Xenopus tropicalis: one gene and its partners. The main gene of each other region encodes a partner of the protein of the gene in region 3 in a complex. Links are inferred from orthologs where the notes say so. Each region holds a gene or a part of one and is shown on either strand. Other genes may lie near its edges.

Evidence for each region. Proteins that work in one complex are often made in the same cells at the same time.
Region 1: cnot11 (region 3) and cnot8 share a complex: the UniProt entries of both Homo sapiens proteins name them as parts of the CCR4-NOT complex. The link is inferred for Xenopus tropicalis from reciprocal best matches to the Homo sapiens genes CNOT11 and CNOT8.
Region 2: cnot11 (region 3) and cnot7 share a complex: the UniProt entries of both Homo sapiens proteins name them as parts of the CCR4-NOT complex. The link is inferred for Xenopus tropicalis from reciprocal best matches to the Homo sapiens genes CNOT11 and CNOT7.

Annotation. Positions count from the first base shown.
Region 1 is NC_030679.2:19,855,449-19,859,716, forward strand, and holds the start of cnot8 (CCR4-NOT transcription complex subunit 8), read left to right. Parts: upstream 1-1,468; 5' UTR 1,469-1,552; intron 1,553-1,695; exon of another isoform or gene 1,696-1,719; intron 1,720-3,296; 5' UTR 3,297-3,384; coding exon 3,385-3,501; intron 3,502-4,268. UniProt on the Homo sapiens protein: Has 3'-5' poly(A) exoribonuclease activity for synthetic poly(A) RNA substrate. Its function seems to be partially redundant with that of CNOT7.
Region 2 is NC_030677.2:42,300,004-42,304,289, reverse strand, and holds the start of cnot7 (CCR4-NOT transcription complex subunit 7), read left to right. Parts: upstream 1-1,486; 5' UTR 1,487-1,629; intron 1,630-1,636; exon of another isoform or gene 1,637-2,315; intron 2,316-3,118; 5' UTR 3,119-3,221; coding exon 3,222-3,338; intron 3,339-4,286. UniProt on the Homo sapiens protein: Has 3'-5' poly(A) exoribonuclease activity for synthetic poly(A) RNA substrate. Its function seems to be partially redundant with that of CNOT8.
Region 3 is NC_030678.2:110,384,930-110,388,429, forward strand, and holds part of cnot11 (CCR4-NOT transcription complex subunit 11), read left to right. Parts: coding exon 1-139; intron 140-247; coding exon 248-450; intron 451-2,384; coding exon 2,385-2,481; intron 2,482-3,500. UniProt on the Homo sapiens protein: Component of the CCR4-NOT complex which is one of the major cellular mRNA deadenylases and is linked to various cellular processes including bulk mRNA degradation, miRNA-mediated repression, translational repression during translational initiation and general transcription regulation.

The DNA of each region.
Region 1 (4,268 bases), on a different chromosome or scaffold from region 3:
TCTACTTGTCAGCTACGTCAACCTGACCTAGGATTGCTGCCTGTCTGGTTATTTGAATTTGAAAATTCAGACAGGACTCAGAAAAAAATGACGCTGTGTTCAGACAATCATCCCCATCTGGACTTATCATATTGAAAAGGCAGCAACTTTAACCAGGCCCTAGCTGCGGCCAGGGGGGACATTTTGTAACGCTCTCTGTAACGTTGCTGCACATGCACGAGTGCTCTTTTAAAGTTGCTAAATGCTGACTGTTTGCACATAATTTGCCAGAGAACCTGTAAAACCCAGGGGTAAAAGGTAAATTCCAACAAAATTGGGGGAGTTGAGAGTTATGCTTTTTAGGGTGAAGACACACTGAGCTACTAGTAGCAGCTTCTTTTTTGCACTACTAAACCCGAAAATCCCCTGCCATAGACAATACTGAGAATTGCCTCTGCTAAAACACACGTAGAGACAGTTATCAGTAAATGATCAGCACTGTCTATTTTAGTAGCCACGACAAGTAGCTGCTACTAGTAGCTCTGTGTGTCTTCACCCATATGAGGAGGGTTTATAACGTGGAGCCTGTGGGACTTCAAAATCTTCATTTTTGCATCTGGATTCAGAATGCAATGTAATGTAAATGTATAGAATTTTTACATTTTCCTTGTGCTTCTATATGGAAATAAGGGTTTGAAGCAATATCATGATAATGCAATATTTATAATTTTGAGATTCTACTCTCAAATATTATATTCAAATTCATACTTTAAAACTAAGTTTGGTTACTACAGTTAGAGTTATTACTACATACCAGGCTACTAGAAAGGAAATTGTGAAGGTAATTGCATTATTAATTGCTTTACTTCCACTTTCACCCCTAGGATCTCAGTAGTGTCAGTTTATACGCGTTTTGCACGTTTTCAATGCGTGATTAGTATACGGGTATAAATATACGTGTACATAACAAATTTCTTAACCAACAATTTTAAATTATATTATATCATATTTTATCATATGTTGACCAATACTGAATGTATAAGTTTTCAACGGCTGTTATTATTTGTACTGCAGATTATTTTTCTGCATAATGTAAATATTAATGTTTGAAAATATTTTAATGCCTTTATTTGGCTATAATGTTTAAAAAATCCCAATAAAAATGATTGAAACTACTTCCACTTTCGTCTTATTTACTTTTTGAGCTTATGTGCAACTTTTTTCTAGAATATAAATATCCTCCCCTTCAACACAATCCAATAACACAAATGGCATTTGAATACATAGTTCATAGTAATGCCTCACGAATTCTGCAAATCCAGTGCTGCGGCATAGCCTTCACGCATGCCCATTAGAGTCATTCAGTTTCCTTTCAACTGCGCATGCTCCGGGCCTACCTCGCTTGCTCGACTTCCTGGGTTCGGAACGCGTTTTTGATTGGCTTTTCGATCCTGACCATAGAGAGCAGTGGCTAGAGCGCCCGCCGAGTCAGCCATTGAACGTTACCGTAGAGTACGCACAAGTAGGAGATATACGTTCGTGCTGCCCTCTGCTTCGGGTCGGAGCCCGGGAGGTGAGATTGATCAGAAAGCCGGCTAAGGGGAGTTTTGTTTTTTAAATGCATCTGCTACGAACAGTACCCGGCAAGCGTCTCTCAAACCGTTTCCAGCCAATGTGCTGGAGACCTGCAGGATGGACATTTAAGATTTATTTCTAATATACGCTAGCCATCGGTAGCCTGTAGGCAACATCCTTATAAACCGCGTTTAATAATGTCATTACTTATAATCTGTGCTTAGTTCTTTAATTTGTGGAATGACTTACTGAAACTTGTGTCTTAGTCAGAATAGTTTATACTAGGTTGTAAGATATAAGGATATTAGGAGTCACAGTAAAGTTCCATAGACATATAAAGGAGCAATTGGCATATAACTCCTCCTTGGCTTCTAATATACTTATATTTTGCAACAGTAGGTGCATCATTTCCTATATTGTTAACAGGGAAATCTTACCACAAGGGAAGGGGGGTAGATAAATGTACAATGAATTTAAGAAATACTGTATTATTAAATGACAAAGCCAATGTTAATATATGTTTAATATATAGTGTGAAGGAAAAAAATGGCTCTTGTGTACTGTTACATGGGAGCCATACATATCCTGTAAATGATATCCTTATAAATGCTGCTTGGCAATTTAATTTCTGCCACATGGTTGCCAAAACTTGTGTCTTATAATTAAATACTTCTGTTGTAAAAAAGAAGGATATTAGAGGTCATCCCAGAGTAAAATGGCCTGTATAAAAGGACTTGGCCTTCGACCTCATGCTTTAATATAATTACATTTCTCAGTGACTTATAATATCCTTATATTTTACAATAGGGGGTACAATATTCATTATACACCATCTTCTGCAGTGAGATTATACATCATTCCCTGCCCCAGGGTACTTTCACATTCACATACAACGGTTTTCATTAGGGGCCAATTAACCTGCCTGTAGTTTTATTGCGGTGTGGAAGGAAACCACTGTAAGCATAAGGCAGTGCTGTGTCCATAAATGAACCAAGGACCTCAGGGCTGCAAGACAAAAGTGCTAACCACTGCAACAAAAATGTCCCAAGTTGTGTATTAGAACCAAAGGTAAGGTAAAAGTCAGTGGGGACCAATTAGCTAGTCACACCCAGTGAATACAATAGGTTACTTTTTACACCAGTCCGGCATTTCTCTATTGTAAAAAATGTTCTGGACTGCAGCCCCCCTACAACCAAGTTTTGAGCTTCTTAGTGAATTGTAGTAATCTGCGATCTAAACGACTGAGGCTTTTTTCTGTTGCTGATCTAAAGGGGTTAAACAAGGATGTCCTAATTGTGGCTGATCAGCCAAATTACTACTTAAAAGATGCTGGAGTTCTGCTTTGGCCAACTGACTGATTAAACTAAATATTTTATTGCATTAACTCCACACACCCTAACCATTGTGAAGTTGAAAAATGGACCAAATGGGATGAATAATCTATGTGCCCAGGCAGCTAACTCACCTGATGGATATGTAATATACTTATAGTGGTGTAGCAGTTTCATGAACTGTATTACTATAAATACTGCCAGGTGTTAGAATACTAATATACAAGGCAAGGCAAATGGTGGCAGGAGAACATTTCCCTGTATTCACCATCCGCAAGGCTAACAGGGTAGTGTTTCCCAGTGTTGCCTTTCCCTTACCTATAATTGTTTAATATGTCTTTTGATTGCAAATTCTTAATATGTTTGGGTTTCTGCAAGTTAACCTTAAAGTATATATTTTAAAATTTTTAGGTAAGAGACATCACCTCTGTCTGGGGAAAACACTGCTTGATTTTCTGTCTGTACCACACATCTCACTGGCCACCTTTCTGAATTCAAGATGCCTGCAGCAGTGGTAGATAATAGCCAAGTGATATGTGAGGTGTGGGCTGTCAACTTGGAGGAGGAGATGCATAAAATTAGAGAGCTTGTTCGCACTTATGGCTACATAGCAATGGTAAGTCTACATTAAACTGACACTTTGTCTGCGTGGGTATATTATTATATTACCCCCTTATCCCAGTTGCAATTGAGATGTATAGGGTTTTGGCTTTTGACAGGCCTATTGGGATTCATCAGGATTGCTGGTTGACTCTGACTAAAGGTGCCCATACACGTGAAGATTTGCTCGCTTGGCGATGTCGCCAAGCAAGCGGATCTTCACCTGATATCCCCACCTACGGGGGGGGAGATATCGGGGAACATGTAGGCTAATTTGATCCCTGGGGCCAAATGATTGAATTATAATGGCGGTCCCCGGTCCGACTAAATCTTTTAACCTGCCCGACCGTTGTTTCTGCCCCTACATGGCCTACAGTCGGGCCGTGTATGTGGACCTTCACTCTTTTTTGTGCACAAGTAGTGTCTGTGATCATAAGCCTTAAGTCTGTTTTAAGTATAAGTAGGGCTTGTGTCAAAAATGCATTGTGCACATTCCTTTAATACAAAAATATAATCAAGAGAGTTATAGAGATATAAAGGAAAATAACAACATATGTATAATTTAACCCCACCCTATCCCACAATGCTGCCTATGTAATATGCTAAGAGAAGGAGTTTGTTCTCTATACAGGAGTTTAACTGGTACAGGTGGTAACTACCCCTTTCCACAGCTGCTCTGAAGATCTTAGTAGGTAGGATCGAGTGTAAAGGTCAATGTGCCACAATGTATTTAGAGCCCTATTTATTGGATTTATATTGAACTTGGGTACATTTGTAAGCTTA
Region 2 (4,286 bases), on a different chromosome or scaffold from region 3:
TCATAAGTGTACCTTATTAACCTTCCCCTTAGTTCATAAGTGTACCTTATTAACCTTCCCCTTAGTTCATAAGTGTACCTTATTAACCTTCCCCCCCACTTCATAAGTGTACCTTATTAACATTCCCCCCCACTTCATAAGTGTACCTTTTTAACATTCCCCCCACTTCATAAGTGTACCTTATTAACATTCCCCCCACTTCACAAGTGTACCTTATTAACCTTCCCCTTACTTCATAAGTGTACCTTATTATCATTCCCCCCCACTTCATAAGTGTACCTTATTAACATTCCCCCCCACTTCATAAGTGTACCTTATTAACATTCCCCCCCCACTTCATAAGTGTACCTTATTAACATTCCCCCCCCACTTCATAAGTGTACCTTATTAACATTCCCCCCACTTCATAAGTGTACCTTATTAACCTTCCCCCCCCACTTCATAAGTGTACCTTATTAACCTTCCCCCCCACTTCATAAGTGTACCTTATTAACCTTCCCCCCCACTTCATAAGTGTACCTTATTAACATTCCCCCCACTTCATAAGTGTACCTTATTAACATTCCCCCCCACTTCATAAGTGTACCTTATTAACATTCCCCCCCACTTCATAAGTGTACCTTATTAACATTCCCCCCCCACTTCATAAGTGTACCTTATTAACATTCCCCCCCCACTTCATAAGTGTACCTTATTAACCTTCCCCCCCCACTTCATAAGTGTACCTTATTAACCTTCCCCCCCACTTCATAAGTGTACCTTATTAACCTTCCCCCCCCACTTCATAAGTGTACCTTATTAACCTTCCCCTTACTTCATAAGTGTACCTTATTAACATTCCCCCCCACTTCATAAGTGTACCTTATTAACATTCCCCCCACTTCATAAGTGTACCTTATTAACATTCCCCCCACTTCATAAGTGTACCTTATTAACATTCCCCCCCACTTCATAAGTGTACCTTATTAACATTCCCCCCCACTTCATAAGTGTACCTTATTAACCTTCCCCCCCCACTTCATAAGTGTACCTTATTAACATTCCCCCCCACTTCATAAGTGTACCTTATTAACATTCCCCCCCACTTCATAAGTGTACCTTATTAACACCCCCCCAATTTCTAAGTGTACCTTATTAACCTTCAACCCTCACTCAGATAACATTAAATAAAACCGCAAGATACAGTCGGCTGTCACTTCCTCTTACACCCCCAGTTGTCCCTTGCCGTGCTACACAACATGTATGTAACCTTCCCTACGCACCATGATATCTGAGAGAAGCCATACACGCAGTTGTCACATACCTGCACACACATACTAGATAGACAGTTGTGTGTTTATCCCATCAAGCACAATCCCAGTTGCCACTTACTTTCACTCTCCATGGGTCGCGCCGTATGACGCACAGCCTGTGACATCATGTCACCTACCAGCTTGAGAAGGGGATGGTTTTCCACGCCTTTGTGGCGGCTTGACGTCATCCAAGTGCGTCCGGGAGGAGGTTAGCAGGAACCTGCCGTGGGACTGGCGCGTCGCTCGCATGACGTGTAGGGGCCTCGGTAATCTCCTGTGCGAGCCCTGGGAGCGCGGTCGTGAAGTGACAGACCGGCAGCGGCCAGACTTATCTTAGGTAGGGCAGGGATAGTGTCGGGCTGTGAGCCTTACAGAACGGATACGGAGCAGTGGGATGGCACACACACACACACTGGGCACAACCAGAGGCGGCTGTATTGTCTGTCACAAGCATCAGTAGGCATTGGTGCTTAGCGCACATACCGTGACTATGGGCCAGTATCCAGTCGGGGAGCCTCCAGCTCGTTCAATCACAAGGGACGCAGAAGGGATACTTGCACCTGAACAGCTTTTATTGGCAGCTGTGTGGCGAACCCCTAGCTCGTAAACTACATTACCCAGCATCCTTCATCAGCCAAAGGATACGCTTCAGCAACAAGTGCAGCTGGACATCTTCCTGTCTACCCCGCAAGACAGTTCAGGGAGACCTGCTTCTCCCCATTCATTTCTGGCTTTTATTAAAGGGGCAGTATACCCCCTTGTTCATTATGATTGCAATGAATAGAACTTGTGCTGATCATACTTTTTGTCTGTTTTAATCAGGAAACATTTATTGTTTTTGATGTTTTCTGTGCTAAACAGTCAACTGAAGCTCATGCATGTTTTGTGAGGCAGATCATTATCAGTGCACAAAGGAAATCCTGCCAACCTGTAAGCCAAACTAGACATAACAAAGGGTGATGGGATGAGGGTTGTTTATACAGAGCTCAGTATATCTAGATAAACTAACTCATCTAATTAATGGTAAGAGAGTAAGCATAGGAGAAAACAAATGCTTCATTTCTGATTTATTATAATGTTATCACTAAGAAATATGCAATTTTTTCAGTTGATATGTTCAATGATATGCTGTATTATTTGCATATGTTCTATTTATTTTGCTAATGTTGTATATTGGCATATACTGCCCCTTTAACACATGATCTGCATAAAACATGGTCTGCATCCAGGGTGGCACCTAGAGATTCTTATGTATAGAACTCTGGTATGGTCACTTTCCAAGAGTTGTAATAATACTGCTAGCCTACATTATTACTACCCAGTTGAAGCCTAACAGTACCAGCTGTGTTCATTATCTCTGCTTAGTGATGGGCCAGAAAGCTCAGATTGCTGGGCCTTGCTGTATAGAGCACTAAGGCAAAATAGAATTATGCTACTCCCTAAAGAAGCCACAGTGTTGACTTAAAAGATGGCTTTACAACTATTACCATGGGTAGAGAGAAGAAATATTCTATTTATACACTTTTGTGCTTCAACCACAACTTCCCCTAACTCATATTAACAATGGATCACCATATATGGGCAAAATACAAAAATCAATTTTTGGGTAATGTCATGGACCAAACACACTCCATAGTCAGAGGATCCCCATTCCTAATATAAAATGTATTGCACAAAGTGCATATTGTTCAAAAGGTGGTGGCATGCACATGGGCCACCTTTCCCCTTTCTTGGCATTTCCTGATATGTTCTGCCTGCTAGTATTATACCGGTATATTATTTTTTATTTGTTAGTAAAATAAAAACTATTCTTCTTTTAATTTTAGATTTAGCAGCTGATTTCGGCCTCGGCCTACCACCTATGAAACCCTTTAATAGCTAATTGCAAAATTTTGATGCCTGCCTCTGAGTCAGTCCCCCAGACCCACTATGCCAGCTGCAACAGTGGACCTCAGCCAGCGAATTTGCGAAGTCTGGGCTTGCAACCTGGATGATCAAATGAAGAGAATCCGCCAAGTTATACGCAAGTATAATTATGTTGCAATGGTATGTTTAGGATGTTTGTTTCCCCTCCAAAAATGTTTTTCATTTTTGAAATTGGCATTAAGAGTTCAGGAATATTTAAGATTTTATAGATTTTTGAGTCTCCTCAAAGGGGAACCTATTTACTGTTTATAAGCAATCCTTGCTTGCAGTATCTGCCACACTGCTTCCGCTGTCAGGGTAATATTATATCAACTATAGACTCTAATGGCCCAATGTTTCGTGTGACATAACAATAATAGAATAATTAATTTACTTTAATATGCAATATAAGTACTTGTTTACATTAAAATATTAATATTTTTTTTGTCCAGTACAATGGGTTCGGTTTATATTGCAGTTATAATTTTTCTAGTGTGTAGAAACAAGTCAGGCTGCTTACTGCACTTATTTGTTAAAGATATTTCTAAGTAGAACTAAAGCCTAAAAAAAAAGAATATGGCTAGAAATGCTGTATTTTCTATTCTAAGCTAATTGTAGCAGCTTTATGATAGTAAAGATCCATGGGCTCAACTGCTAAAGGTGTATGGTGGCCATGGTCTGGTAAGGTGCCTGCCATTGGGTAGGCTAGGTAGCAACTAAAACTCTTAGAATAGTGGCACACGGTGCTGTTTCAGGGACTTTGATTAACATATTTTTAAAGGAGAACTTTACTTCCGGATGGCACTCTTTGCCTAGACCCCCCCCCCACCTCTCCCATATCGCATTGTTTTCAAGTTTACACTCTGTCCCTATTGCTGACTGCTAGCTAAAAATGCAGACAAGCGCAACCGCGTACCTCGCCAACATCTTACCGACTGAAGACTCTTTGGGTCTCACAGCCGACACCTAACCTGCTTGAGAATGCGCAGTTGAAGCAGATTTCCTGCTACCTACAACTACTCATGCGCAAGCAGGTTCGTATCGGCGGTGAGACCCAAAGTGTCTTCAGTTGGTAAGAAAATGTCGGCC
Region 3 (3,500 bases):
CTGGCTCAATCTTATAGAACCAGATCATGCCATTAAATGGGACCGATCCATGTGTGTAAAGAACAGCACTGGAGTGGAAATTAAGCGGATTATGGCTAAAGCATTCAAAAGCCCACTTTCCTCTCCTCAGCAAACTCAGGTAAAGAGTAATAAAGTACACAGTATTACCATGATAATATACACCAGATGAGTTAAACTAAGATTACGATTAACCAGTTTTTTTTTCTTCTTATATTCCTTTTGCTAGCTTCTTGGAGAATTAGAAAAAGACCCTAAGTTAGTTTACCACATTGGCCTCACTCCTGCCAAGCTCCCAGATTTGGTAGAAAATAATCCGTTGGTTGCTATTGAAATGCTGCTCAAGTTAATGCAATCAAGTCAAATAACAGAATATTTCTCTGTGCTTGTCAACATGGATATGTCTTTACATTCAATGGAAGTTGTAAATAGGTGAGTCTTTGTTTATTTCTTTTTCTAATAAAATATTTTGCAGGCACAGAACATGGTGAATTGAATATAGTAAGCCTCCAAGGAAATCTGCAAAAAAAACCAATAAACCGAGGGGGCAGATTTTTTAGAGGCTGGACACAAAAACACCTGCTTCTTATCACCAGAAGGGGGCATAAAATATATTTTTTTCACAATACAGTACTTTTTAAAGCATTTTCTTAAAAGATGCAAAACCATTTTTATAAAGTAAGATTTCCCATATATGTACACTTTTTTTGGTTCAAAGAATAGAATGAAATGTACCTGCTTAAAGCTAAATTATTTTATTAGCAGAGATGATTAAGAAAGGTAAATAACCAAGATTGTTAATAAGTATGAGACTTTGTCAGCCTCTGTTAAATCTGCCACTCACTGAACCATTAAGGGCTCTGGCACACGGGGAGATTAGTCGCCCGCAACAAAACTCCCTGTTCACGGGCAACTAATCTCCCCGGATTGCCATCCCACTGGCGAAAATGTAAATCGCCAGTGGGATGGCATACGCAGCGGCGCAAGTTGCTTCGAGAGGAAACATGTGCAATTTCAGTGAAATTGCGCCGCCGTGTATACCATCCCACCGGCGATTTACATTTTCGCCGGTGGGATGGCATTTCGGGGAGGTTAGTCGCCCAAGACACGGGAGATTTGTCGCGGGCGACTAATCTCCCCGTGTGCCAGAGCCCTAAGAAGTCATTCATGTTCATTTACATCTGCTGACAAATATACTGACCTGCAACTCTGAATTAATTTTTTCTTTTGTTGCTTGGTTCATTATAAATTCATTAACTAATGCACATTGAGCATGGGATTCCACACCAATTTATGATATCAAAGGTGTGTTGCTTTCTATATATTTTACTCCTGCTGTGTTTCGTTTTGTCTTAATGCTTTCACCTCAATTCTTAAGCTGGCCTCACACGTGGCGATTTTCGATCCAACCCTCCACTGACGTTCAGCGCTGAATCGTCAGATATGGAGGTAGAAACAATAGGATTTCTACCTCCAGCCCTGAACATAGATTTTGCTCGGGCACAAAATCTTTTAACCCACCTGATCGGCAAGTCGTCCAATATCTGCAGCTTTTTTGCAATATCGGTTGCCTTGTTGAGTTGCCATACATGCACCGAATATCGTACGAAACGAGGTTTCGTACAATATTATCGGTGCGTGTATGCCCAGCGTTAGACAGGATTGCTTTTCCTGATCTCATAGGCCTAGTTCTGATACTTTATAACCTAAATGTGCACCACAGAATTAAGTGCCGTAAGCTTGTTGGGTGGTTTTTCTTTTGCATTATATCTGCTTTTACACTCTACTTTGTGTATACATTTTATTCAAACCAGCCTTTTTAGCTGTGTTTAGTAAAACAAAGAATGTGCATGGGTGCCATAAATTGAAAGTAAAGTTTTGTGTAAATACAATCAAATAAAAACATTTACCAGGGCCCCTTAAATGTATGCTGGTTAGAGTTCATGGACAAAGTTAAATACCAAGTATAAAGTGCATGCTGCTGCTGTATAACAGTATGGTTCAGTGTATATGTAAAAATGTAAATACCTTAATGAAGTATAAATATTTAATATCTAAATCATGTTGTCATTGCTTAAATTTTTTTACAGTGCAATTTAAGATTGAAATGTATTTTGTTGCTATTATTGTTGTGTATCCCAACGCTGTTTAGCTTTAGTGTACCCAGAACTTGAGCTTCTAGTGCGGCCAATCTCCTTTTTCTTGTACTTTCTACCTTGAGGTGGCACACAATACAGTACTCTACGATGAGTAGGGAGACCTGCGGAGAAACCCATGAGTTAAATAGTAGGGAAGCAGCCTATCATCTATATGGTCTTGTTCCTTAATCTGTTTTGTTTTTTATAAACTGTTTTTCTTCTTTTAAGACTTACAACAGCAGTGGATCTTCCTCCTGAGTTCATTCACCTTTACATTTCAAATTGTATATCCACATGTGAGCAGATTAAGGACAAGTATATGCAGGTAAGAAACATGCAAAACATGATACTATCCATTCAGTTAAAGGCTATTTGATTTCTTATCCAGAAGATGGAAAGACAGTTTAGTGCTTTTTTAATGGTGACTAGCGCTTTGAAAAGTCCCAGCAGGCATAGCTCAGGGGTGAGTACTGGGAATGGTTTTGCTGCAAGGGATGTCATCCTCTCCATTAAAAAGCGATTAGATTAAAACTCTCATAATAAATGGAAAATGGAGATATCCAGCTATGGATATATTTACTAGCCTGATTTTTATGATGTAATCTGGGACACTCTTTCATTAACCACATCAATTTGCCCCTGCATGCACCATGAGTGGGCTCCAATTGGGGGGTGCAGCACATGATTCGGGACATTCCTAATAAATTCTATTGTTTTCCCCGTTTTTGTGATAGATTTTTAATGGTGTACTTCCTGGCATAGTCAAAAGAAAAAAATAGCAATAGGGCCTGTGATGTTGCCCATAGAAACCAATCAGATCTTTTCTGTTGTTTTCTAACTTGTAGGTGACTGTCTAATTGGCTGGTTTGTCTCTGTTAATAAAAATGCCCCCAAATGTAAAGAAATAGGGGCTCACATATCAAATTTTACAAGATTCCTGTACGTTTTAATAGAGGCTTGAATTGATAGGGCAGTTCAAAAGAACCTTTAGATATTGTTTAATCTCCTAGGATTAGTTATTCTAAACCAGCCAAAACAACAGCTGTTTGTGTCAAATGTCACTAAAGGCTACTGGCAGTGATTTTTTTGTTCATATATATATATTTATTGATCCGTATTTTCTGTATTGTACTTTTGTTTAGACACTTAACGTTAAAACATTAATCACATCCTGCTTTTCTTTGCATTATGACTAAAGGTCTTATGTGTTAGTTAAAGTATGAATTGCCCTGTATGCCAGGTGCTCCAGTAGTTTTGCATAGCTACTAAAACTTATAAAAAAAGAGGCAAACAGTTTATTTGCAGAGAATTAAAAATGAGTCCTTTGTAAAGGGAATTGGTCAT